Macaca fascicularis: one gene and its partners. The protein of the gene in region 7 purifies or fractionates together with the protein of the main gene of each other region. This does not show direct contact. Links are inferred from orthologs where the notes say so. Each region holds a gene or a part of one and is shown on either strand. Other genes may lie near its edges. The genes, in order: HDAC2, BRMS1, ING1, CHD3, OGT, NR0B2 and SIN3A.

Evidence for each region.
Region 1: the proteins of SIN3A (region 7) and HDAC2 purify together in Homo sapiens (affinity purification with western blotting; 24 studies listed by BioGRID and IntAct, with this or other methods). This does not show direct contact. The link is inferred for Macaca fascicularis from reciprocal best matches to the Homo sapiens genes SIN3A and HDAC2.
Region 2: the proteins of SIN3A (region 7) and BRMS1 purify together in Homo sapiens (affinity purification with western blotting; 4 studies listed by BioGRID and IntAct, with this or other methods). This does not show direct contact. The link is inferred for Macaca fascicularis from reciprocal best matches to the Homo sapiens genes SIN3A and BRMS1.
Region 3: the proteins of SIN3A (region 7) and ING1 purify together in Homo sapiens (affinity purification with western blotting; 5 studies listed by BioGRID and IntAct, with this or other methods). This does not show direct contact. The link is inferred for Macaca fascicularis from reciprocal best matches to the Homo sapiens genes SIN3A and ING1.
Region 4: the proteins of SIN3A (region 7) and CHD3 purify together in Homo sapiens (affinity purification with western blotting; 3 studies listed by BioGRID, with this or other methods). This does not show direct contact. The link is inferred for Macaca fascicularis from reciprocal best matches to the Homo sapiens genes SIN3A and CHD3.
Region 5: the proteins of SIN3A (region 7) and OGT purify together in Homo sapiens (affinity purification with western blotting; 4 studies listed by BioGRID, with this or other methods). This does not show direct contact. The link is inferred for Macaca fascicularis from reciprocal best matches to the Homo sapiens genes SIN3A and OGT.
Region 6: the proteins of SIN3A (region 7) and NR0B2 purify together in Homo sapiens (affinity purification with western blotting; 3 studies listed by BioGRID). This does not show direct contact. The link is inferred for Macaca fascicularis from reciprocal best matches to the Homo sapiens genes SIN3A and NR0B2.

Annotation. Positions count from the first base shown.
Region 1 is NC_088378.1:17,995,119-17,998,618, reverse strand, and holds part of HDAC2 (histone deacetylase 2), read left to right. Parts: intron 1-1,151; coding exon 1,152-1,226; intron 1,227-1,693; coding exon 1,694-1,832; intron 1,833-3,500. UniProt on the Homo sapiens protein: Histone deacetylase that catalyzes the deacetylation of lysine residues on the N-terminal part of the core histones (H2A, H2B, H3 and H4).
Region 2 is NC_088388.1:8,060,479-8,063,356, reverse strand, and holds part of BRMS1 (breast cancer metastasis-suppressor 1), read right to left. Parts: coding exon 2,831-2,878; exon of another isoform or gene 1,916-2,830; coding exon 1,825-1,915; exon of another isoform or gene 1,625-1,824; coding exon 1,497-1,624; exon of another isoform or gene 1,338-1,496; coding exon 1,258-1,337; exon of another isoform or gene 1,162-1,257; coding exon 1,065-1,161; exon of another isoform or gene 506-1,064; coding exon 413-505; exon of another isoform or gene 1-412. UniProt on the Homo sapiens protein: Transcriptional repressor. Down-regulates transcription activation by NF-kappa-B by promoting the deacetylation of RELA at 'Lys-310'. Promotes HDAC1 binding to promoter regions.
Region 3 is NC_088391.1:101,291,285-101,295,522, forward strand, and holds the start of ING1 (inhibitor of growth protein 1), read left to right. Parts: upstream 1-1,438; 5' UTR 1,439-1,457; coding exon 1,458-1,605; exon of another isoform or gene 1,606-2,099; intron 2,100-4,238. UniProt on the Homo sapiens protein: Cooperates with p53/TP53 in the negative regulatory pathway of cell growth by modulating p53-dependent transcriptional activation. Implicated as a tumor suppressor gene.
Region 4 is NC_088390.1:7,972,755-7,976,254, forward strand, and holds part of CHD3 (chromodomain-helicase-DNA-binding protein 3), read left to right. Parts: coding exon 1-56; intron 57-537; coding exon 538-603; intron 604-1,053; coding exon 1,054-1,139; intron 1,140-1,289; coding exon 1,290-1,423; intron 1,424-1,555; exon of another isoform or gene 1,556-1,694; intron 1,695-1,984; coding exon 1,985-2,129; intron 2,130-2,300; coding exon 2,301-2,463; intron 2,464-2,557; coding exon 2,558-2,679; intron 2,680-2,784; coding exon 2,785-2,920; intron 2,921-3,032; coding exon 3,033-3,134; intron 3,135-3,321; coding exon of another isoform or gene 3,322-3,324; coding exon 3,325-3,450; intron 3,451-3,500.
Region 5 is NC_088395.1:78,293,671-78,296,394, forward strand, and holds the end of OGT (UDP-N-acetylglucosamine--peptide N-acetylglucosaminyltransferase 110 kDa subunit), read left to right. Parts: coding exon 1-114; 3' UTR 115-2,224; downstream 2,225-2,724. UniProt on the Homo sapiens protein: Catalyzes the transfer of a single N-acetylglucosamine from UDP-GlcNAc to a serine or threonine residue in cytoplasmic and nuclear proteins resulting in their modification with a beta-linked N-acetylglucosamine (O-GlcNAc).
Region 6 is NC_088375.1:208,192,675-208,196,785, reverse strand, and holds NR0B2 (nuclear receptor subfamily 0 group B member 2), read right to left. Parts: upstream 2,801-4,111; 5' UTR 2,765-2,800; coding exon 2,233-2,764; intron 910-2,232; coding exon 668-909; 3' UTR 312-667; downstream 1-311. UniProt on the Homo sapiens protein: Transcriptional regulator that acts as a negative regulator of receptor-dependent signaling pathways. Specifically inhibits transactivation of the nuclear receptor with which it interacts.
Region 7 is NC_088381.1:52,597,009-52,600,508, reverse strand, and holds part of SIN3A (paired amphipathic helix protein Sin3a), read left to right. Parts: intron 1-1,621; coding exon 1,622-1,829; intron 1,830-3,500. UniProt on the Homo sapiens protein: Acts as a transcriptional repressor. Corepressor for REST. Interacts with MXI1 to repress MYC responsive genes and antagonize MYC oncogenic activities. Also interacts with MXD1-MAX heterodimers to repress transcription by tethering SIN3A to DNA.

The DNA of each region.
Region 1 (3,500 bases), on a different chromosome or scaffold from region 7:
AAACCTGCATAATAATGACTTATATTAAGCTTATGATCCTGGCTGGGTGTGGTGGCTCACGCCTGTAATCCCAGCACTTTGGGAGGCCGAGGTGAGTGGATTACCTGAGGTCTGGAGTTCGAAACCAGACTGGCCAACATGGCGAAACCCTGTCTCTACTAAAAAAAGTACAAAAAAATTAGCTGGGTGTGGTGGCATGCACCTGTAATCCTGCTACTCAGGAGGCTGAGATAGGAGAATTGCTTGAACCCCGGAGGTGGGGGTTGCAATGAGCCGAGCTCACGCTATTGCAGCCTGGGCAACAGAGTGAGACTCTGTATCCAAAAAAAAAAAAAAAAAAAATTATGATCTATCTGAGCAGTAAGAAACTAAAATGTATTTCTTATAGTGCTTGTGACTTAAGGATGTACAAAGATATTAATATATAAAACAAGGACCCTTATTCTTGAAGAGGTTACAATTCAAGGGCATAGGGAAAGACTAAGAAAGGGTTATATATGTCTGCCATATCCCCTTCATTCTGTCAATACTGAGGAACTAAATGTGTGATGTTGTGTTATTTATCTGTATATGTTTTTTCCTTGTTGTCTTTAATGTCCTTCTGTATTTTGGCTCCCATGAACCTAGTTAATTCTTACAAGCTTTCAAGATCAAGATTAGCCACGGAAATAGGCAACCAGCTGTTACATCTTTTTGGTTTAGTAACTTCCTGACATGCATTTCAAAGTTACAGATATTAATACGTATTTAAGGAGTTTTAAAGAAAGTAAATCATACAGCAATTGAAGTTACTTTTAGAATGTTAACTTACTGTAATATTAAGGGGAAAGGTCTAGAAAATTTAAGCCTGTGTTTTAATTAAATGAGAACTGTTGTGCATAGACAACTATTGAGTTCTTGTTAATAGACCAGAAATATTCCACAGATACTCCTGATAAGATTTGATGATGATCTTTCACAGATAACACTGTAATTACCTTGGATAAAACAATAAATATATTTTAAAGTTGTAAACTTTATATTACACTGTGAAGTGTATGTTTGATGATTGCATCAAGCAAAAAAAGTATTTGTAGGAAATAGTTTTTGTAAGAAAAGGCTTTCATTAATTTGCAGAGTGTGTTGAAATTAATGAAATCCATCTTCCACAGTTAATGTTGGAGAAGATTGTCCAGTGTTTGATGGACTCTTTGAGTTTTGTCAACTCTCAACTGGTGGTTCAGTTGGTAAGTGCTAATACAATCAGATTTAAAAGTTGTTCTAAATTTGGTGTGTATCTTCCAGGTTATTTGTGTAAAGCAGGAGTTTTAATGATTGTGAATTTTGATAACAAAAGGAAATCAGTATGTTTATAGTACAGTACAATTTGCTTTCAAACCTCTGTTTTGTTATTGTGACTTAAATACTTTTGTAACTTACATTTTTCACTTACAGACTTCTTTCATCCCCCTTGTCTTCTAGCTATCATTGTTAGTACCACCATCTACATAAACCATTATTTAATCTCAGGGCGCAGCTCTGGGAGAATGTTTTTCTAAGGAGAAACTCCTATTTATGTCATAGATGATTTTTGTTAAGTTTTATGATTTTAAGCTCTTTCTTATGCATGGCATACACTTGTAGGGTTTTCGTCTCGTTGTACTAATTTTTTATGTTAAATATTTAAAAAGTCTACCTTGTTTCTACTTCTTAGCTGGAGCCGTGAAGTTAAACCGACAACAGACTGATATGGCTGTTAATTGGGCTGGAGGATTACATCATGCTAAGAAATCAGAAGCATCAGGATTCTGTTATGTTAATGATATTGTGCTTGCCATCCTTGAATTACTAAAGTATGTTAATTTATATTGGTACTTTTTTCAGTGATAAAATGTTTTCATTAAAACACAATAAAAGTCTGTGGCTTAAAAAAAATCAGGTAAGCCATAGGTTGAAATAGTTAATGGTGAATTTTCTGGGAATTCATTACAAAACAATGAAGAAATGCAGGGAGTTTGCCCAAATCTTCAATTATTAAGAGTTAGTGTGTGGCCAGGCACTATGGCCGAGGCCTGTAATCCCTACACTTTGGGAGGCTGAGGTGGGTGGATCTCTTGAGCCCAGGAGTTTGAGACCAGGCTGGGCAACATGGCAAAACCCCATCTCTGCCAAGAAAAAAATTAGCCAGATGTGGTGGCATGCATCTGTAGTCCCAACTACCCAGGAGGTTGAGGTGGGAGTATCTGAGCCCAGGAAGTAGAGTCTGCAGGAAGCCATGTTCCTGCCACTACACTCTAGCCTGGGCAACAGTGTGAGATCCTACCTTAAAAAAAGAATTAGAAGTGTATAAAAGGCTGGGTGCCCGTGGCTCACGCCTGTAATCCCAACACTTTGGGAGGCCAAGGTGGGTGGATCATGAGGTCAGGAGTTCAAGACCAGCCTGACGAGCATGGTGAAACCCCATCCTACTAAAAACACAAAAATTAGCTGGGCATGGTGGCACGTGCCTGTAATCCCAGCTACTCAGGAGGCTGACGCAGGAGAGTTGCTTGAACCTGGGAGGCAGAGGTTGCAGTGAGCCAAGATCATATCAGTGTACTCCAGCGTGGGCTACAGAGCAAGACTCTGTCTCAAAAAAAAAAAAAAAAAAAAAAAAAGAATTAGAAGTGTATGTAAATGTCAAAACTCCCATTAAATATCCTTTTTTAAAAGTAGTTTGGCAGTTTTCATTTTAGTTAGTTTCAACTAATAAAAAATGACAATGACCTTGGAAGTTTATGTTCTAGTATTTTGTAAATTGTAAATTGAAGACAAAAATTTGAAACCAGTATTTAAGGAAATTTGTTTACCTGTTGAGTTAGTCTAACTGCCTAACTTCCATATGTGAATGAGGCTTTGTTCTCTACTGATGGATATAAAATTATCTCTGAGTTGCTGCAGGAGTTATTTTTCCTTAGCTGTGGCTGCAGTTTGAGAGAGAGAGATCTGTAGAGGTACTTATGAATGTGGACATTTGCAATGTTATTTTTTGCCATCAGTTATGACACATCTTAGCAGATTCTACTTTATATTGTACTGAGCTGTTTTTTGCTTGTAGTTATTCCATGCATGCTATCCATAGAGGCTGATTTTTCAGTCACTGAAAATTGATACTGACTCCTCAAATAAACAGTAATTGAGCAGGATCAGTGTAACATCTTGTCAGCTCATCAGGAGCAAAGGAAAATCATTTGCAATCATTTGCCTTGTGTTTTAATTGACTGTTGATGTTGGTTCCAGTGTCTTCAACTCTTTGAGCAAGTTCTTGCCCACTCAGCTAATAGTTTTAAACAACTTTAATTTCTCTGGACACAATTTTTTTGGGTGGTGTAATCAAACATGATTTAATAAATTGACTTGGTGCACAGCTTTCCTTGCTTATCTAACACATGAGCCACTCAGAAACTTTACCTTGATCACAGCCTCATTTCTGTTTTTTAAATTTTGTGAAGAAATTTTGCTATACTATTATACGCTCTTTA
Region 2 (2,878 bases), on a different chromosome or scaffold from region 7:
GCCTCAGCCTTCAGAGTAGCTGGGACTATAGATGCACACCGCCACACCTGGCTAATTTTTGCTAATTTTTCTAGAGACGGGTTTCACCATGTTGCCCAAGGTGGTCTCGAAATGAACTCCTGGGCTCAAGCAATCTACCTGCCTTGGCCTCCCAAAGTGCTCGGACTATAGATGTGAGCCACTGAGCCTAGCCCGTTTCTGTTTTCCTAGGGTCCACATAGCCCAGAGAGACCCAAGACCCTGTAAGAAATTGCTGACAGCTGGATTTGCCTGGACATGGTCACATGACACCAAGCAACCACAAGTGCATCTAGTGCGACTGTCCTCCATGTCCCCTCCAAACCTCTCCCCCAGGTCTGGAGGTGACCCTAACATCCTGCCACCTTTTAGGCCACCTTAGGTGAAAGGATACCAGAAACCAGAGGTGCCTTCTTCCTCTTGCTGGGCGGCAGGGAGTCCCAAGACCTGGAGCTGCCTCTGGCGTGCAGTTTGTCGTCCCACCATTCTGCCCCCAGACCCAGAGTTAGAACTGGGGTGCTGGCCCACAGGACACTCTCTCTTCTGTAGCCTCTGCCCCCACCATGGGCCAGCCTGGCCTCATATCCCCTGCCCCATCACAACCCTGGGCTTGGGGTAGGAAGCCCCTTAGGGCTGTTCAGGTCCTGCCCGCACAGCTGTGCAACCCCGGGAAGAGGCCGCTGCACTTCTGTGAGCCTCATCTGTTTAGTGGACAGTGGGATGACAATTCCTGCCACCCCAGGACTCCACATGAACACAGGTACTATGAACGTGGAGGGGACTAGAGCTATTGCATGGGACTGCATGTCACACTGATACCTGTTTTGGAAAGAGCAGGGGCAGAAGAGGGCAGGGAGACCCACTCTGCCCGAGCCCCTACTGTGTGCCAGGCCCTTTCCAGGCCTGGTTTCCTTCAGTCCTCACACTGACCCCAAGAGGCAGGTCCTCTGACTGTCCCCTTGACTTCAGGACATCTGAAGTCTAGAAAGGGGTGGGCGTTGACAGAGCCAAGCCCAGGGCCGGGGTGCCCGGGCTCTCGCGCTCACCAGAGCTGAGGTCCAGGCTCTGGCGGTCCTCCTCCAGCCTCTGGATCCGCTCCTGCAGCTCCCCCTGCAGTGTGTCATAGAGCAGCAGCTTCTCACTCTGGAAGAGGGGGCAATAGCTCAGCAGGACGGATGGGGAGAGCTCACTTCAGGCCTTGCGCCCCGCCTTGTCCCCAGTGTGCCCAATCAGGCCCACCTCCAGGTGCTGTTTGGCTCCCTGCAGCTCACATTCATACTTATTCCTGATCACATCCAGACAGAACCCCTTGTAGATCCCTGCAGAGAAAGGAAGGAGGGACCCTGCTTGGCTGGGGAGCCTGGTGCCCACACAGGAGGGCTGAAAGCAAAGGGTGAGGCCAGGGAGGAACAAGAGAAGAAGGGGACAGGGTGCCATGGGTTCTGGGAGGGGAAAAAGGCACAGAACCACCCACAGACCTGCCACCTGAATGCGAATCTTGAGGCTCTGCTGCAGCCCCCCAAGGGGCTCCGTGTATTCAGGGGCTCTCTCAGCCCCTACTTCCTCCAGCCGCAACCGCAGCTGACTCAGTCGTTCCCTGAACAACCTGGGTGGTAAAAAAGGCAGCCGTGCACCCATTTGCTCACCTATTGCTCTTGGGCAAACACGTACCCAGCACCCATTCCACAGCAAGCCCTGTGTTAGGCGTGCACTTCCTGGGCACCAACCACGCCTGCCCAGTACCAGGCCCACCACCTCCTCATCCCAGCTCCTCGCAGACCCAGCCCAAGGTGTCCCCATGCTCACTTCTCCTTTAGCTCCGAGAACTGCTTTTCTAGGTCCAGCATCTCACTGACACACTCGCTGCGGCGCCGCTCATAGTCCTCATCGTCCATCTCTGGGACAAGAGGCCAGTAAGGGCTAGCTCTGGGGAGGGGTGGTGGGTACCCACATGTGTGCATGTGCGTCCTTCATGTGTGTGTGTGTGCATGCGTCCTTGTGTGAAGGGGCTGTGTGTTTGTATGCATGCTTGTGTGTAGGGGCTGTGTGTGTGTGTGTGCTTGTGTGTAGGGGCTGTGTGCGCGCACGTGCTCGTGTGTAGGGGCTGTGTGTGCATGTGTGCTCGTGTGTAGGGGCTGTGTGTGCATGTGTGCTCGTGTGTAGGGGCTGTGTGTGCATGTGTGCTCGTGTGTAGGGGCTGTGTGTGTGTATGCGTGCTTGTGTGTAGGGGCTGTGTGTGTGTGCACGTGTGCTCGTGTGTAGGGGCTGTGTGTGTGCATGTGTGCTCGTGTGTAGGGGCTATGTGTGTGTGCGTGTGTGCTCGTGTGTAGAGGCTGTGTGCGTGTGTGCTCGTGTGTAGAGGCTGTGTGTGTGTGTGGGTGCTCGTGTGTAGAGGCTGTGTGTGTGCGCATGCGTGCTTGTGTGAAGGGGCTGTGTGTGTGTGCGTGCTTGTGTGTAGAGGCTCTGTGTGTGTGCGTGCTTGTGTGTAGAGGCTCTGTATGTGTGCATGCTTGTGTGTAGAAGCTGTGTGTGTGCGTGCGTGCTTGTGTGTAGGGGCTGTGTGTGCATGTGCATGTGCTTGTGTGTAGGGGCTGTGTGTGCGTGTGCATGTGCTTGTGTGTAGGGGCTGTGTGTAGGTGCTTGTGTGAAGGGGCTGTGTGTGCATGTGCATGCTTGTGTGTAGAAGCTGTGTGTGTGTGCTTGTGGCAGAGGCTGTGTGTGAGTATGCTTGTGTCTAGGGGCTGTATGTGCATGTATGTGCATGCTTGTGCGTGGGGGCTGTGTGTGTGTGTGTGTTTGTGTAGGGGCTCACCGGAGCTCTCCTCTTCTGACTCTGTCTGGCTGCCGCTCCGCTCCTCCT
Region 3 (4,238 bases), on a different chromosome or scaffold from region 7:
GCTCCGCAGCGGCGGCCCTCGGCAGGGGCAGGAACAAAAGGTCTGGAGCGCCTTTGATTCGCCAAGGTCCTTGTGTGCAAAGCCCGGGACACGGAGGAGGAAGGAGGCGCGAGAGGTCTCGCTGCAAGGCTGCGCGACCAAAGCGCTCTTTGTAGTGAAGTGATGAGGCGGGTGCTGCGGGGGAGGGGGCGGCGGGTCCAAGCCGCGTCCTCTAGGAGGGGGTGCAGATTACGGCGCGAGATGGAGGGATGTGCCGGCGCCTGGGGCTGTAGGACGCCGAGATGTGGCTGCAGGAGGAGGGCGGCTGTGGGCCGGGGTTCCCGCGGACCCGGTGCCTCGGTCCGGAGCAACGCCGCTCCCCTGGCCCTTCTTCGCCGCCCCCCACCCAGTCCCCAATCCGAGTGTTACATAAAGTACCGGGTAGTACTCCGTTCGGGGTAGCTCGGTCGCCCCCGCCCAGTCCCCTCCGGCCCTCACTTGGCACTGGACACCGAGTAAGGGCCGACTGCGAGGGGCGACGCCGCCGGTTGTAGTTTGCGGAGGACGAGGGTTTTTCTCTGTGTGCCGTGGGGAAGGGAAGGGGAGGAGCGGAGGCGGGGAAGGCGCCCATCTGCGCAGCGCTGCGCTCGGGGGGGCGCGGGCAGATCGCTGGGTTGGAGAGGATTGTGGCAGATGAGAGGACCTGTGGGTCGTTCTCTGCAGATCTGGCCGCCCAGGGTGTCAGAGAGAGGTGGCGAGTTCGTGTCCGCCGGGAATTGTTGGCTGTTGGGGAAAGTTTTCTGCGAGGTCAGTCAAGGCTTTGGGGGCTCTGTTTTGAATGTGGATCACCACTCCGAGTTTACTAATGTTTACAAAGCTACGCAGTAGGGAAACGGAAGAGTTAGGTGGGGGCAAAAAAAAATCCATCGCCATGCCCGAAAGCACCAGATACCCCTACCGGGAAGGCGCCCCTGCGCGCTCTATCCAAGACGTAGCTTCGCAGCTGCTTTTATAGGAATCTCATTAGCATACTGTGGAACGTCCCGCCTCAGCCTTCCGGTGGTTGGCTGTGACGTCCTTCGTGGAATGTCCTTATCATTCCCCTGCGGAACGATTGGTCGCTGAGGCGGATGAAGGCGGGTGTAGCGCAATAACTGGCATGGGTCTGTGTTTCCGCTGTCTTCTTTTTTCTTTTTCGGGGAGGAGCGGGGTGGAGTGTGGTTGATTTGAACGTCTTCGGGTCGCTCGGCCTCCAGCCTCGGATTGGGCCTTGTCGCTGCTGGGGCGGGCTGTGCTCTTCCGCCTTGCGGTGTGGTTGGTTCTCCTCCTGGCCTCCGCCCTCCAAATCGGCGATTCCCATATGCGGCGGCTCTCGGGGGGCGCGGCGAGTCTCCCGCTGGCCTCCTCCCCATTGGCTGGAGGGCCGGCTGGTGTCGCCCAGGCCCCCACTCAGCACTGCCACTTTTGGGCGCGGAGTTATGGCAGTAGCGGGGACCCCAGGGCTGGGGGCTCGGGGCCGGGGCTGCAGTTCGGGCCGCCTCCCGCGACCCGCGAGACCGGCCCGCAGACAGTCCCAGGCCGCATCTTTGCTGACCCGAGGGAGGGGCCGCGCGTGGCCGGGGAAACGTGAGTGACTGGGGCTGCGTCCACGAGCGGGACCCTCGGCGCGGGAACTTTCCTGGAAGGTGCTGTCCTCGGGGCGGGCGGGCTCCGTGGAGTGACCCTGGGGCTCCGGACGGAAGGGAGGCAGGGGCTGAGACCACTCTGATCGTTCAACGATAGAAAAAAGCGCGGGGCGGGGTGCAGGGTCCCAGCCGTCAAGACAGCAAAGTTCACGGAGCCACTTTGTTCTCCTGTCGTTGCTGGGGAGAGCCTGGCTTGCTGCTTGCTTCAGGTTCACCTAGGATGATGAACTTTTTGGCTTCAGGAAAGATCACAGTCCCGCGCCTGCGGGAGTACTGGAGCCGTGCAACTGGTAGCGCTGAGAAGCGCGAGAATCTGTCGCAAGGGTCACAGCTCCTTGGACTTCGCTGTAAATGCTGAGCTCTGCTGCGTAGTTCTGAAAGACGAAGCTTGTTTTCACAGATCTACTCTACAGGAAGTCAGACGTCTTTTGCTTAGTAGGCATCGGTTGTCTGTTAATTCGTAAACATGGATTATAATTAGTTTATCGATTTAAAATGGTGTTTGAGATTGCTTGAATTATTTTTCAAACATTATTATAAAAATACCTACCCACCCCCTGGGAAGTCCGCTTCATAAAGAATTTCAGGGCAACCCTTACGTAAAATTAAAATACATTTAAAATAATTGGACAAACCAATTTCAATGTTGCTACAATCTCATTTAATCTGTAAATTCCATGTGTTGCTGCTTTCCATGGTAATGTTGGTGTGGAGTATGTTTGGAAGAAAGGTAGCAGTGTGTCTGAAGCTGAGTTGCTGGCATTCAAGGAGCAGAGTGTCTGGAAGGATGGCTTCCTATTTCGCAGTGGTGGTGTTCCTGTCTATAAATATTTGTACTTAGTGGTTTTGTTGATAAAATACTTTGTTTGGGGTATCAAAGAACTATTAGGTAACAGAAATACTTCTTGGTAATTTTGCAATGGGATATCTGTTTCTCTTCCCCACAAATTAGGCTTCGTCTGGATGGAAGCTTGCTTGTGATGCCAAATAACCTCTGTGTTATTAAATTTTAAATTTATATGATGGTTTTCTTTTCCATCAAATGACAATACTGTCTTTAGAACTTTGATTACTGATGAAAAGAAGTGATACCATTTTATAAGCCTAAATCCATTTAAAAATAAATGGTACACACTCATATTTTAACATCTATGATAAATAAGTTGGATAAATTGGTATTACTTGGATACGTTGAACACAGCTATTTATTTTTATAATTAGTGACTATTTGAGACTAGGGCATTCCTCCTGGTGGCAGGCAGCCTGCATTGTTCCTCTAGGAAATGTCTTCAGAGCTGTCTTTAGCTTGAGAATATACTCTGGAAAATAATACCATTTAGAGAAGCTTCAGCGTTGGCCCAACTTCTTATGTTTACTCTAGTGTTAGGTATATATCTTATAACTATTTGGAGATAAGATCTGGAAAGGGAGGGGGTACCATTTTAGACAATCCCTCCCACTCCCAGCCCCTCCCCATACACTTCCTAGTTTACAAGTAGTATTGTTGGCCTGGCACGGTGGCTCACTCCTGTAATCCCAGCACTTTCCGAAGCTGAGGCAGGCGGATCACGAGGTCGAGAGTTGGGAGACCAGCCTGACCAACATGGAGAAAACCCTGTCTACTGAAAATACTGGGCGTGGTGTTGCATGCCTGTAATCCCAGCTACTCGGGAGGCTGAGGCAGGAGAATCGCTTGAACCTGGGAGGCCAAGGTTGCAGTGAGCCGAGATCGCGCCATTGCACTCCAGCCTGGGCAACAAGAGCAAAACTCCGTCTCAACAAAAAAAGTAGTATTGTTGCCTTGTTTAAAGAGACTGCAAAAAGGTTTTAGGAGAATAATCTGGTACTGTTTAATTTAATGGTTATTGTTTGAGGAAAAAGAGCTCTGGAATTTCTTTGTGAGTAGCCTTTTGGCAAGACTGTTTACTGCCCTTATTTCAACTAGATTTTTTTTTTTTTTTTTTTTTTTTTTTTTTTGAGGCGGAGTCTCGCTCTGTCGCCCAGGCTGGAGTGCAGTGGCGCGATCTCGGCTCACTGCAAGCTCCGCCTCCCGGGTTCCCGCCATTCTCCTGCCTCAGCCTCCCGAGTAGCTGGGACTACAGGCGCCGCCACCACGCCCGGCTAATTTTTTTTGTATTTTTAGTGGAGACGGGGTTTCATTGTGTTAGCCAGGATGGTCTCGATCTCCTGACCTCGTGATCCGCCCGTCTCGGCCTCCCAAAGTGCTGGGATTACAGGCTTGAGCCACCGCGCCCGGCCTCAACTAGACTTTTTTAACAGCTTTTGTTTCTTGAGAAATTGCCTAATTACACTTTAAAATCATATGCACTGTCCTCTAACATGCCCAAGAAGTTTTATATTTAAATACTGAAGAGGTTTTCTTTTCTTTTTGATGGCATTTTAAAGTCCATTGACTTTAATAGATGTGAAGATGTTTTTGTTTAAGCAGTAGATGCAAAAGTAAAATCTACCAGCTTTGTTTTAAAGCAAGGCTAGTACATTCACTGCAGTTAAAAAATAATAATAATGACCCATTACAGTTGTGCTCCTGTAGTCCTAGCTACTCAGGAGGCT
Region 4 (3,500 bases), on a different chromosome or scaffold from region 7:
GGGCAAGCGGGTTCGCAAGCAAGTTAACTACAATGATGCTGCTCAGGAAGACCAAGGTGAGGACTGCCCCAGATGCAGGCAGTAAAAGTGGGGGAAGTGATGATGAGAAGGGACTTAAGGCTGGGGCTACTTAGAGAGTAAGAGAGAAGCCTAGAAGTCAGAGCCTTTCCCTGCTAAAAGGGAAAGACGTAAGGTAGAGTCATTAGGAACTACCCGGAGGCCAGGTGGGTTTGCAGGTGATTTAAACTATTTGGTGGTTGCACAGGCATCCTGTGGACACCCAGGGCCACTGCTTAGAGTAGGTTTGGCAGGAGAACCAGAGGGGCCCAGAGACTGAAGGTGGGCGGTGAATGGAGATGCTGTAGGATATGCGGCTCCCAAGTCAGACTTCAGGCAGTGACCTGGCGTTCCCAGAAGGGCCAAGGCCAGAATAAAGGTAGACAAGTCTCGGCAGGGAGGAAGCCAGCCAGAAAGGGCCCCAGCATGGGCATATCCCGAGAGACCTCCCTGACCACTGGGCCCTCTCCACCCCCACAGACAACCAGTCAGAGTACTCGGTGGGTTCAGAGGAGGAGGATGAAGACTTCGATGAACGTCCTGAAGGTGGCATCTGTGTTCCTGACTCTTACCTCTTACCATTTTATTTTTCAGTTTGCTTTAAGCCCACTGTTTTTGTACAAGTAAAAAATCTTTGTGTGTGTGTGGAAAAACTCCATTGCAGATGAGCAGAAAGGAAGCAATGTTGATAGTCTCTCCACTAGTAAACTTCGGTTTGTGTGACCACATAGACTAGATCAAGAAAGGCTGAATCATTTTCCATTTCCACTGGTAATCTGGGCCTTTGTCAGATATCAGCTATTAATTTTAAAATATGACTAGTTCTTTTACAGTCACTGGGTTAGTAGTTCTGAAGTGCTTGGGAGAGAATTGGGAGCACCTCAAACATGATAGGAATGTTCCTGTGTTCTGTGTCTTGTGGGAATGGGGTGCTAAGGAGGACTGAGGCTTAGAGGAGGTGGTGGATCAGCTAATTGATGTCATCCCCACTCTCAGGGCGTAGACAGTCAAAGAGGCAGCTCCGGAATGAGAAAGATAAGCCACTGCCTCCACTGCTGGCCCGAGTCGGGGGCAACATTGAGGTGAGAGCTGGGCCCAGTGTTCGTGAGTTCTCCAAGGAGAGCATGAGGGCAGAAGGTTGGAAATTGGGGCCTGGATCACTGAGGGTAGAAAGGACAAGACCTAAGAACCCTGGACATTTGTCGCCATTGCCTCGTTGCCCCCACCCTCAGGTGCTGGGCTTCAATACCCGTCAGCGGAAGGCTTTCCTCAATGCCGTGATGCGCTGGGGGATGCCACCACAGGATGCCTTCACCACGCAGTGGCTGGTGCGGGACCTGAGGGGCAAGACTGAGAAGGAGTTTAAGTGAGTGTGGGTGATGCAGGGCTGAGTTGGACGCAAGGGTAAGAGCTTTGGGTGTTCCATTCTTCCTTGGGGCCGCCATATGATGTGACCTTACTCAACTGATTGTCACCCTCCCTACCATACAACGCTTCCTGGCTCGATTTCCTGGGGGGTGGTCTCAGCCCACCCCACCTCCCCTCAGCCGAGCCTAGAGTAGAGGGGCCAGGCATTCTCCCCAGGGGAGAGGTGTTGAAGCAAGGAACCTCTCCTGGGCTGTCCTAGCCTCACATTTACTTGGCCACAATCACCTGGCAGGAGGAGCTGGTGGAAAGGATGAAGAGCTGACTGATGGGGCCCAGGAATTAAGTACCAAGGCCAAGGGGATAGGCCAGGGATGGGGCGCAGGGGCACGGTTAGGACTTGGAGGGCTGGTAATGGTGAGAGTGAGAGGCCCAGGGGAGGAGCCCTGGAGCATCTGGGGATTTGGGGACTTGGGGGTCCTCAGTCATCCTTGCATCTTCCTCACTGCCCTATACCCCTTCTGTGGCTTCCCTAACCGTCCTCCCACCCCATGCTTCTTAGGGCCTATGTATCTTTGTTCATGCGCCATCTGTGTGAGCCTGGGGCAGACGGCTCTGAAACCTTTGCCGATGGGGTCCCTCGGGAGGGACTGAGTCGCCAGCAGGTGTTGACCCGCATTGGAGTCATGTCTCTCGTCAAGAAGAAGGTATCAGTCTTCCTCTCACCCAAAAAATCAAGCTGGCTGCCTAGTCTCTGTCCTTCCTCTGCCTCTGTCCCTGAGTTGTAAGCTCGCGCTGGTGTGAGACGGAGGAGACTGGAGTTTCCTGTCTGTATGTCTGTAAGTGCCTGGAGCTGACACCTGTCCTTCCCACCCCAGGTGCAGGAGTTTGAGCACATCAATGGGCGTTGGTCAATGCCGGAACTGATGCCCGACCCCAGCGCTGACTCTAAGCGCTCCTCCAGAGCCTCCTCTCCTACCAAAACGTCTCCCACCACTCCTGAGGCTTCTGCTACCAACAGTCCCTGCACCTCTAAACCTGGTAATCAGAAATCAGGATGGTGGGAGAGACAGAAAGGGAGCCAGGAGTCAGGGCAAGAGAACCTCTGTCTTTATCACTGTGCCTTCCCCTGCAGCTACTCCAGCTCCAAGTGAGAAAGGAGAAGGCATAAGGACTCCTCTTGAGAAGGAGGAAGCTGAAAACCAGGAGGAGAAGCCAGAGAAGAACAGCAGAATTGGGGAGAAGATGGACACAGAGGTGTGTGGCTCCCTGGATTCCCCTGTGGAGTGGGAGGGGAGGGGGCTTGGAGGCCAGATGCCTGGGAGCCCTCCAGCTCATCCTGACCCCATTGTCCTCTTACAGGTTGATGCCCCCAGCCCAGCCCCATCACTCGGGGAGCGGCTGGAGCCAAGGAAGATTCCTCTAGAGGATGAGGTGCCAGGGGTACCTGGAGAGATGGAGCTTGAACCTGGGTACCGTGGGGACAGAGAGAAGTCAGGTGGGTGCATGGCCTTAGGAGTGATGGGGGATTAGAATTTGGGATGTCCCTCTTCTGGGGTCAGAGGATGAGGGTAACATCCTCCCTTCCTATCCCCTACCCCCTCCCACAGCCACAGAGTCGACGCCAGGAGAAAGGGGGGAGGAGAAGCCGATGGATGGACAGGAACACAGGGAGAGGCCGGAGGGGGAAGCAGGGGATTTGGGCAAGAGAGGTAATGGGTGGAAGGACCGGACACCTGGGTCCCTGAGGGCATCAGGGGAGGTGGAGTCTGGGGAACCAAATGCTTGGGTCCTGGGCGGGTAGCTGTTTGAAAGGCCAGGACAGCACAGTACAGATAGTAGTCTTGGGACCTGGGAGGAGGGTGTCCTGAGGTGTGAGCTTTCACCTGTCTGTCCTAGCAGAAGATGTAAAAGGTGACCGGGAGCTTCGACCAGGGCCTCGAGATGAGCCACGGTCCAATGGGCGACGAGAGGAAAAGACAGAGAAGCCCCGGTTCATGTTCAATATCGCAGATGGTGGCTTCACAGGTTGGGGAGACTCTTGCTGCTTTCTGCTCCTCAAGGGGATCTGCTCATCC
Region 5 (2,724 bases), on a different chromosome or scaffold from region 7:
AAACAATACACAATGGAACTAGAGCGGCTCTATCTACAGATGTGGGAGCATTATGCAGCTGGCAACAAACCTGACCACATGATTAAGCCTGTTGAAGTCACTGAGTCAGCATAAATAAAGACTGCACAGGAGAATTACCCCTATACCTGAGCCTCAACCTTCTGGGGGAAAGGGAACTAGATAACATACTTCTTACTTGTCTGTACAGTACCTTGTTGCAGATGGGTGATATATAATGGTAATAGAATAGCACAGCCAGACTTGCTTCCTGCATGGTAGGGAGAGACACAAGAGATGGGAAACTGCTGTTCCACAAGGAATCTCCGTAGAATTTTGCAGCGACCAGATGGTGCATAGGTCTGGAAGGTCTGATCTCCCTTGGTCTCTTCCATGGGATGGTTAGTGTGGAGGGGAGATATAGATTGTCCGGCCGCTTTGTGATTCCATGGATTGATTCAGTCTTCTGGATTAACTTTTTTCTTTATATTTTGGGTACTGGAGCTTTTAAAAATGTTTGGTTTCAGGTATTTTTATTCATGTGAAGTGTATATGATTCTCTTGAGATAAGGTTTTAAGCTAAAATGTTACTCCCTGTTTTAGTTTCTGAACTCTGACAGATCGACAGGGACTTTGCTGGTGTAGTCTTTTTATAGGTTTTATAAACCACTTGAGCCTATATCAGTCGTTTTAGTGTCTGACCTAATGTTTGGAGCTATCAGTGCTTTGTTGATTTAGATGATGACTCAAGATTTTTTCTGGTCCATTTCCCATTTCCTTCTCTTCCCTGACCCCCATACCCCCACCCTTAAAATTCTCCTGTAACTCAACTAACAAAATCAAGTCTGATTCAAAACATCCTAGGGTGTTTCTCTTAAACACGCCATCTGGTGCCAAATGAAAATTTTTAGGAGTGATGACTAATTATCAAGGGCACAGTTGTGGTACTGTCATTGATAATAATATAGTTTTTTTTTTTTTTTTTGGCCTAATTTTGACCTGTTTCACCAGTGTTTTACCCTTGACTGCCCCTTCTATGCTGCTTCCAAAAGTGATAGTGTGTGTAAGATTTTTACCTTCCTTTCTAAAGTTTTTTTTTTTTTTTCTTAAAGTGAGTCCTGTTCTTCCTATTTCTTTCAGCAGAAATGAAATCCCAGGTAAGTATAAGTATTCAAGTATTTGATCAGTAAGTCACAGTTATCTCCAGTGCATTAAATAACCTTCATCAAGAAACAGGTTATAGGTAAAATCTCTGAAGGACCATCTGTGTATTCAAGTAATTATATTTTAGATATTCTGGACTTGGTCTTGAAGTCTGTACAGATTCAGCCTCAATAGTAGCAAACTGCACTGCTATTTGGTTTGGAGTACAAATTAGACTTATAGTCCTCCTGGAACTTGAGTTATTAAAGTCATAGGAATAAAATTATGGGATCTCAACAGAGTCGAGGGTTTGAGGCTTAAACAAGCCAACATATGAATATATGTTTTGTCTCGCTGTACTGCACTTACGCTATCCAGTCGCAGGTAATTTTTTGTCTGCCAGTAGTGTTCTAGATTATGTCTTTCCAAAGCGCTGAGGCTGTGCACCTATTCTGTAGTTGCAGCTGATGCCTGAATGTATCCTAGCTGACAAATTATTGATTAATAAGAACTTGCATTTCTGAAAGATGCTTACTGTTAACCAAATTTTGAGCTAGGAGTCTCAAAGGTAATTCTGAACCAGAATTACATGTTAATGAACAGTGTACCTTTTAACAATGTAAATCACGGAATATCCGTGAAGGGATTTCTTAATTTATTTTTTACTGGATGATTGAAATACCAGTTAAAGGTTGCCAGCATGGTTGCAGATAAACTGACGTTTGAAATTCACCGAACTACTTAATGTGGAATAGGGTAATATACTTCCAATGCCCTCAAGGCTGTGACCTTACAGCCATTTTACATAGCACATCATTCCTCCTACAGGGATGAACTTTTTCCTGGCACGAAAAGTAGCCGCTCTGGTTGAAGCTTTGCTTATTGTAACAGGCTTTTATTTCCAGGTAACATGTCTGTGGAAGACTTAATTCTGATTAGAGATATAGATATTACTGGAAACTAATTGTTTTTTTTTTTTTTTCTATTGTACTCTGCTTTATCAAAGAAGTAAAACATTTAAATCGTGCTACAGAAATTAAGATGTTGTCTTGCGATCCTTAAACAATAAATGATTTCCCCTTAATACGGCTGATGTATTTTGTGTCCTGTTATATTGAGTGGCTTGATGAATAGGGTCATCCAGTGATGAAACCTGTATTTGAACAGCCTCAAACAGCAGCAAAGGACCAAATTTCCCTTCTGTAGCTATGATATTAGGAATTGTTTTCTCAGCCAGGTCTGGTGGAGGGTGGTGGGTTAGTTTATGATCCATTAAGGCGGCAAAGTGGCTGGATGTGGTGGCTCACGCCTGTAACCCCAGCACTTTGGGAGGCCGAGGCAGGTGGATCACTTGAGGTCAGGAGTTCAAGACCAGCCTGGCTAACATGGTGAAACTCCGTCTCTACTAAAAATACAGAAAACTAGCCGGGAGTGGTGGCACACACGCTTGTAATCCCAGCTACATGTGAGGCTGAGACAGGAGAATCGCTTGAACCCAGGAGGTGGAGGTTGCAATGAACTGAGATCGTGCCATTGCACTCCAACCTGGACGACAGCCTGTGATCCCCAACACACCCATTCATG
Region 6 (4,111 bases), on a different chromosome or scaffold from region 7:
CTGTTTCAATTCGGGAATGGACTGCTTCCTGATTGGCTGTGATTGGGCTTTAACTGTGGTGAGAGGGCGCATGAAGTGGGTAGGAGCCAGGAGAGTGGTTAGTGAAGGGTTTGGGAACAGGAGAGCAACCTCCTTCCCCTGAGGATAAAGGCAATGAGGTGATGGGATTGTGAACTGATACTGTTCCCTGGAAAATTAGTTCCAGCAACCCTGTGGATTTTTTCCCTTGGGCTACCTCTGATAGGAGCAGGGTGGGCCCTGGAGGTGAGACAGTCCCTTCTATATGCACAAACAACAGTATCAGGCTCCAAGTGTTTCATACCTTTTATTACAAAAATCAATAACTTAATTCAGTTCTGTATAAAGTCAGTAGGACTTCTGGTCCAATGAGCAGCTTAAGCTTTCATTCCCATCCCAACAAGGGACAGGAGTCTTGGCCCAGAGGCTGTGGGGACCACCAAGAGCCTTCCAGGCAGCTGGAGCACTGTGTCCAAACCAAGGAAGTCCAATGTGGGGTGTGGCTGAGTGAAGGGCTGTTCCTAAGGAGCCAAGTGCTGTCTATACAGCCTTGCCCCCTCCGGGAGCATTGGGTCACCTCTGGTGATGGCCAGGCTGAATCAGCACTGCCAGCCTCTGCCCACCTGATCTCTGCCTGGGCTACAGCTGGTCACCTCAGCAAGAGCATGTCCCCAAGAAGGCCAGCGATGTCAACATCTCCAATGATAGGGCGAAAAAAGAGGTCCCCAAGCAGGCTGGTCGGAATGGACTTGAGGGTGGAGGCTGTGAGGAGGACACGGGCCAGGCGGCCTTGGGCTGCTGGGCACCAGGGCTCCAGGACTTCACACAGCGCCCAGTGAGCCTCCTGCTGCAGGTGCCCAATGTGGGAGGCGGCTTGGAGGCCTGGCACATCTGTGGGCAGAGAGGGAGAAGAGGGTTGGTGAGCATCCTACTCCCAGCCACCAAAGGAAGAGACTGGCCCAAGATCTGGGCCATCAGAGACACCCCTCTGCCTCCTTTGCTCGGCCTTTGAGGTCCCACTACTACCTCCTCCTTTGGAGGAGGTAATTTATTTATCAATTTCCATTGTATTCATCCATCCATTTATGAAGAGGCAGTATGGAGTAATGGTTAAGAATCAGGTTTCCTGAGTATGAATCCCAGTACTGTCACTTAGCTGGGTGACCTTGGGCAAGTAACTTAATCTCTGGGCTTCAGTTTCTTTATTTGTAAAACGAGGATAATAATATTAATAGGACCTGTCTCCTAGGTTTTTATGAGATTTAAATGAACTAGTATATGTAAAACCCTTAGAATAGGGCCTAACATATGGTAAGTGTGATATGAGTATTTGCTACTATTATTGCAATTAACTACTACGATTTATGCGTGCCACAGGGACTCCTGGGGAACGCTCATCTCAGATGCTCTCCAGATTACAAAGAGCACTGTCTCATCTGCCACTCTCCTGGCCAAATTCCACAAAGACTCCCTTCCTGTCCTCCCTACACCCCTTTCAGTTCTCTCTTCTAAGTGATCTTTCTGAACCCACAGAGGAGTTTCAGCTCTAGAGCTTCACCATGCAGCCTTCCTTTGAAGATGTGACTGAGACACAGCTGTGTCTGCCCACCCCACCTCCCCCGCAGCCTTCTCTAAAGGTCAGAGCAAATTTCTCAGGCAGAGTGGCAAGGGCCAGTCTCTGGAGTGAATAGACCTGAGTTGCCATCCTGGTCTGTCCCTACCTGGCTGTGTTACCTTTAGCTCGTCACTTAGCTTCTCTGTACCTCTTCTGTGAGATGGCTATTTGATGAAAATGAGGAACCGGCCAAGCACAGTGGCTCACGCCTGTAATCCAGCACTTTGGGAGGCCAAGGTGGGTGGATCACCAGAGGGATCAGGAGTTCAAGACCAGCTTGACCAACATGGCGAAACCCCGTCTCTACTAAAAAATACAAAAATTAGCCGGGAGTGGTGGCGGGCACCTGTAATCCCAGCTACTTGGGAGGCTGAGGCAGGGAAAATTGCTTGAACCCAGGAGGCAGAGGTTGCAGTGAGCCAAGATCGCGCCATTGCGCTCCAGAGTAGGTGACAGAGTGAGACTCTGTCTCAGAAAAAAAAAAAAAAAAGAAAATGTGGACCCCATGAGATTACAGATATCAAACCCTTAGAAGTTACCTTCCCTGGCTGGCTCCTGCTTCAGCCTTGCCCCCTACCCAGGAGTGTCTGGGAGCTCACCAGGGTTGAAGAGGATGGTCCCTTTCAGGCAGGCATATTCCTTGGGGCTCAGCTCCAGGCCCCAGAAGGACTCCAGACAGCACTGAAGCCACTGCACTGCAGCCAGGGAGGGCTGGGGTCTGTCTGGCGGCTGGCCACTGCCTCCACTGCTGCTGGGCTCCTCCAGTAGAATCTTCTTGAGTATGCTGGGCACCGGGGCCTCAGCCACTTCAAAGGTCACAGCATCTTGGGCCAACCCAAGCAGGAAGAGGGGGCCCCAGCAACCCTGCAGCAGCCGCCGCTGGTCCTGGGGAGGCAGCTGCCAGAAGGATGGCAGGTTCCTGAGGAAGGCCACTGTCTTGGCCAGAACATCCAAGGCCTCCCGGCAGGTGCGATGAGGTGCACATAGCTGGACGGGCCGGTGCTGCCTACATAGGCAGCGGCTACGGGGTCGGGGGACAGCCCTGAGGCTGGAGCTCAGAAGTGCGTAGAGAATGGCTGGGCGGCTTGCAGCTCCCTGGCATGGGCAGGCCCCTGGTTGGCTGGTGCTCATGGTTGGGATCTGCCCTTACTTCCAGCTCTCTGGCCCTCTGTTCTGCGCCGTGGGTGCTATTTATATTCCCAGTGAGTGGAAGGGGGGGAATGGCCCGACAACCTTGACTCCAGAAGTCATGTTCATTGAAAAAAACACACAGACACTGCCCCTGGCAGGAATGGTGGGGAAGTGGTGGGGGAGGGGGCATTGGGAACCCCACGTGGCACTGATATCACTTCAGTCAATGAAGTGGCCGGTGCAGGGCACAGGGCCACCTGCCGCTCACTCAGCTGCCCCTTATCGGATGACTCAAGTGGATAAACAAGGTCATTAACCCAGGTTGTACCAGGGCACCAAGGCCCCAGGTGCACAATCAGCAGGTGTCCCCATTGGTGCCTGCTCTTGTGTGCACAAAAGACTAGCGCTTTCGCTAAGCCAGGAAGTCAGCCCCAGAGCTGGGTGGGCCTTGAATGCAAGGCCCGACCTGGAAGTGCCTTATCACTAGCTTGTTTGCCTAACCTTGGGGCCCTGCTTCTGTTGTCGGCCAGGAGCAGGCTACAGGGAAGGGAGCCAGGACCCTGGGGGGGCTGGGAGGACTTTGCCCGCTGTCCAGTCTCGGAGGCCCCCTTCCTCTGGTTTCAGTTCTGGGCCCCCTGCAGGAATAAGGTCCTTCAGAATCCCTATCCCCTGCCTGATTCCTTTTTTTTTTTTTTTTTTTGAGACGGAGTCTGCTCTGTCGCCCAGGCTGGAGTGCAGTGGCCGGATCTCAGCTCACTGCAAGCTCCACCTCCCGGGTTTACGCCATTCTCCTGCCTCAGCCTCCCGAGTAGCTGGGACTACAGGCGCCCGCCACCTCGCCCGGCTAGTTTTTGTATTTTTTTTTAGTAGAGACGGGGTTTCACCGTGTTAGCCAGGATGGTCTCGATCTCCTGACCTCGTGATCCGCCCGTCTTGGCCTCCCAAAGTGCTGGGATTACAGGCTTGAGCCACCGCGCCCGGCCTTTCCCTGCCTGATTCCTACCACTCCTGAAAGTCCAGTCCTGCTGAGAAGAACTCACAGAGTTATAATAAAAGATAGTTGCCAGCTGGGCATGGTGGCTCATGCCTGTAATCCCAGCACTTTGGGAGGCCGAGGAAGGGGGATCATTTGAGGTCAGGAGTTCAAGACCAGCCTGGCCAACATGGCAAAATCCTGTCTCTACTAAAAATACAAAAATTAGCCGGGCATGGTGGCATGTGCCTGTAGTCCCAGCTACCCTAGAGGCTGAGGCAAAATAATCACTTGAAACTGGGAGGCAGAGGTTGCAGTGAGCTGAGATCATGCCACTGTACTCCAGCCTGGGCAACAGAGCAAGACCCTGTCTC
Region 7 (3,500 bases):
AGGTGCACGCTACCATGCCTGGCTAATTTTTGTGCTTTTATTAGAGATGGGGTTTCCCCCAATTGGCCAGACTGGTCTCAAACTCCTGACCTCAAGTGGTCTGCCTGCCTCAGCCTCCCAGAGTGCTGGGATTATAAGTGTGAGCCACTGTGACTGGCCCATCAGAAACCTTCTTAAGTGAAACTGGCTTTTTTTCACTTAATGTCATTGTGCAGTCAGTGTGAAGTTCAAAGACTTGAATTGCAATTGCATGAGGTTACAAAATCGTGGAAGTAAAAGGATTCATTCATGGTACAAAATAAACCAATAGAGTTTGACAACTGTATGAAAAGCTCAGTGATGTATATAGATTGATATTGGAATTTGGTAACAATTTGTTCGATATTGCAAATACAATTTGGCGCCACCACCATTTTTATTCACCATTACGTTTATGGTGCCAGTGCAGATGTCAACACAGCAAAAAAGGGAAATAATATTTTAGTATTATTATGAAAATAGTTTTGATCTCACAGATCTCCTAAAAGGGTCTTGGGACCCTTTGGACAAAGAACTGCTGTCTACAGAAATACATGTATACAAAGATACTCACTAGAGCAATATTTTGGGGTTTTTTTTTTTTTTTTTTTTTTGAGACAGTATCTGACTCTGTCTCCCAGGCTATAGTACAGTGGTGGGATCTTGGCTCACTGCAACCTCCACCTTCTGGGCTCAAGCGATCTTCCCACCTTAACCTCTCAAGTTGCTGAGACTCTAGGCACACATCACCACACCTGCCTAATTTTTTTATTTTTTGTAGAGAAGGGGTTTTTGCCATGTCGCCCAGGCTAGTCTCAAACTCCTGAGCTCAAGCAATCCACCTGCCTCCCAACGTGCTGGGATTATAGGCATGAGCCACAACGGCCAACCTGAAGCAGTGTTTTTAATAGCAAGTTATGAGAAACAGTATAATTGTCTAGCTGATAACCTTTCTTCACTGGATGTTGAGGAGATTTAGCAAGCCTCCCACCCCTCAGGGCATCCATTCATGTGAATTATCTTCTTTCTTGTCTATGTAGAGTGGCACTAGTTTATATCATCTGGGGGAATTTTTAAAAATAGGCATTCAAATAATTTTTTGTTATGTGGTTCAGATGAGGAACCTCAGTTGAAATAAACTGTTAAGGAATGGTAAATTGGGGTACATTTTTCTGCAGCAGTTAAAGAGAATAAGACAAATCTGTCATGAAATGAAAAAATACTCATGACAGTAAGTGAAAAGTTGAGGACAGAATATATAGTATGATCCTATTTTGTCTTAGAAACAAATCCCAAAGCAGAATTATAGCTGGTAATTACATGTGTAAATTTACAGACGGAGGCCCAGAAGTTTCTCATTAAAACTCTTAACTGGCTGCATCTGCTAAGGCAAGTAGGGGATGGGTGAAGATTTCTACTTTTTATTCTGTGTACCTTTGCAGTTGAAATTTTTTTTGCAGTGAAACAACGGAACATTTTTGTATGTATTTAACAAATTGGGATGAGTACTATGTAAGCATATAATAAAGAAAACTCACTTGGGGGAAGTCACGGGAATCTGTGTCTGGATGAGCTCTCATCTTTCAGGGCTTTTCTGCCATAGGAATCTACGGCGGATCCGGAAATGTCAGCGTGGTCGAGAGCAGCAGGAAAAGGAAGGGAAGGAAGGAAACAGTAAGAAGACCATGGAGAATGTGGATAGTCTGGATAAGCTGGAGTGTAGATTCAAGCTGAATTCCTACAAGATGGTGTATGTGATCAAATCAGAGGACTATATGTATCGGAGGACTGCCCTGCTCCGGGCTCATCAGGTGAGAACCAGTAACTAATTTCTGTACACATCTGCCACCCTAGCTAGGAGCAGGGGAGGCCCAGAGTCTTCTGATTGTTTCTCTTTGTTTATGCAAACCTGTTCTTGGAGCTGAGACTTAGCTGAGGAAGTAGGTATGTTGGTTTGCTAAGGATGCTGTGACAGAGTACCACAGAGTGTGGCTTAAACGACAAAAGTTCTGGAGACTAGAAGTCCAAAGTCAGGTGTCAGCAGTGTTGGTTCCTTTTGAGGACTGTGAGGGACAATCTGTTCTAGGCCTCTCTTAGCTTCTGGTTCTTTGCTGGCAATCTTTGGCATTCCTGGGCTTGTAGATCCCTGCCTTTATCTTCATATGGTGTTTCTACCTGTGTGTATGTCTGCCTCCAGATAAGGTCACATTTGGAAGTACTGTGGGCCAGGACTTCAATATTTGATTTTTTGTTTGTTTGAGACAGTCTTGCCTGACACAGCCTCCCAAAGTGCTAGCTTTACAGGCACGAGCCACCACACCCAGCCAACATAAGAATTTTAGGGAGAACACACTTCAGCCCGTAAGAGCATATAAATACCTGGTGGCACCTTTTTAGTGAATTTACTCCCAGTATTTACATCTCAAGTAGTATCTGATCGTTTGCTTGTATGAATTCTACCTGTTTTTACATTCTATCTCAATTGTGAAACCTTCCTGCTGCAGCTGTGTACAGGGTGTTATGCCAGGCCCTGGGACTACAGCCATGAAGTTGATCAGATGAAGTAATGTGATGATATGCACTACCAGGGAAACAAATCAGGTGCAGTGATCAAGGGTAACTAGCATACAGGCCCTGCTTTCACTGGAGGAGGCTTCTCAAAGGAGGTGATGCTTGAGGCCTGAATAATGACAAGGAATTAGCCTGGTGAAGAGTAGAGGATGGGTGTTTTCTAGACAAAACAGCAAGTACAAGGCTGGGAGGAAAGAACATGGCATATTCAAGAAACTACAGACACCGTTGTGGCTCAAGGTTGCATGAAGTTAGAAGGGTAGGCAGAGGCCACATTACTTTGTCTAATAGGCCATGGTTTGGAGTTTGTTTGAGATGCATTGGGACATTTGACAAAGATAGCTTGGAGTGCTATGAGGAGAGTGGAGATGGGTATGTATAAAGTTGGAAGAGCAGAGACCACTCAAGGGTGCCCTTGTCCAAATGAGATTTGGGGACCACCCAGACTACTAGGGTGGCAGTGGAATTGCAAGAATTACATTGTAGATTTTATGTGTTTATTTATTTTTGAGACAGAGTTTCACTCTTGTCGCCCAAGCTGGAGTGCAGTGACCCAATCTCGGCTCACTGCAACCTCTGCCTCCTGGGTTCAAGCGATTCTCCTGTCTCAGCCTACTGAGCAGCTGAGATTACAGGCACGCGCCACCACGCCTGGCTGATTTTTTGTATTTTTAGTAGAGATGGGGTTTCACCATGTTGGCCAGGCTGGTCTCGAACCCCTGACCTCAAGTGACCCACCCACCTCAGCCTCCCAAAGTACTGGGACTACAGGCTACCACGCCTGGATGTAGATATAATTTAGATATTTAATTGACAAGAGATGGTATTGGATCAAATGTGGGGGTAAGCAAAAGGAGGACATCAAGGATGGTGCCTAATTCGTTTTGGGGTTTTTTGGTTTGTTTTGCTTA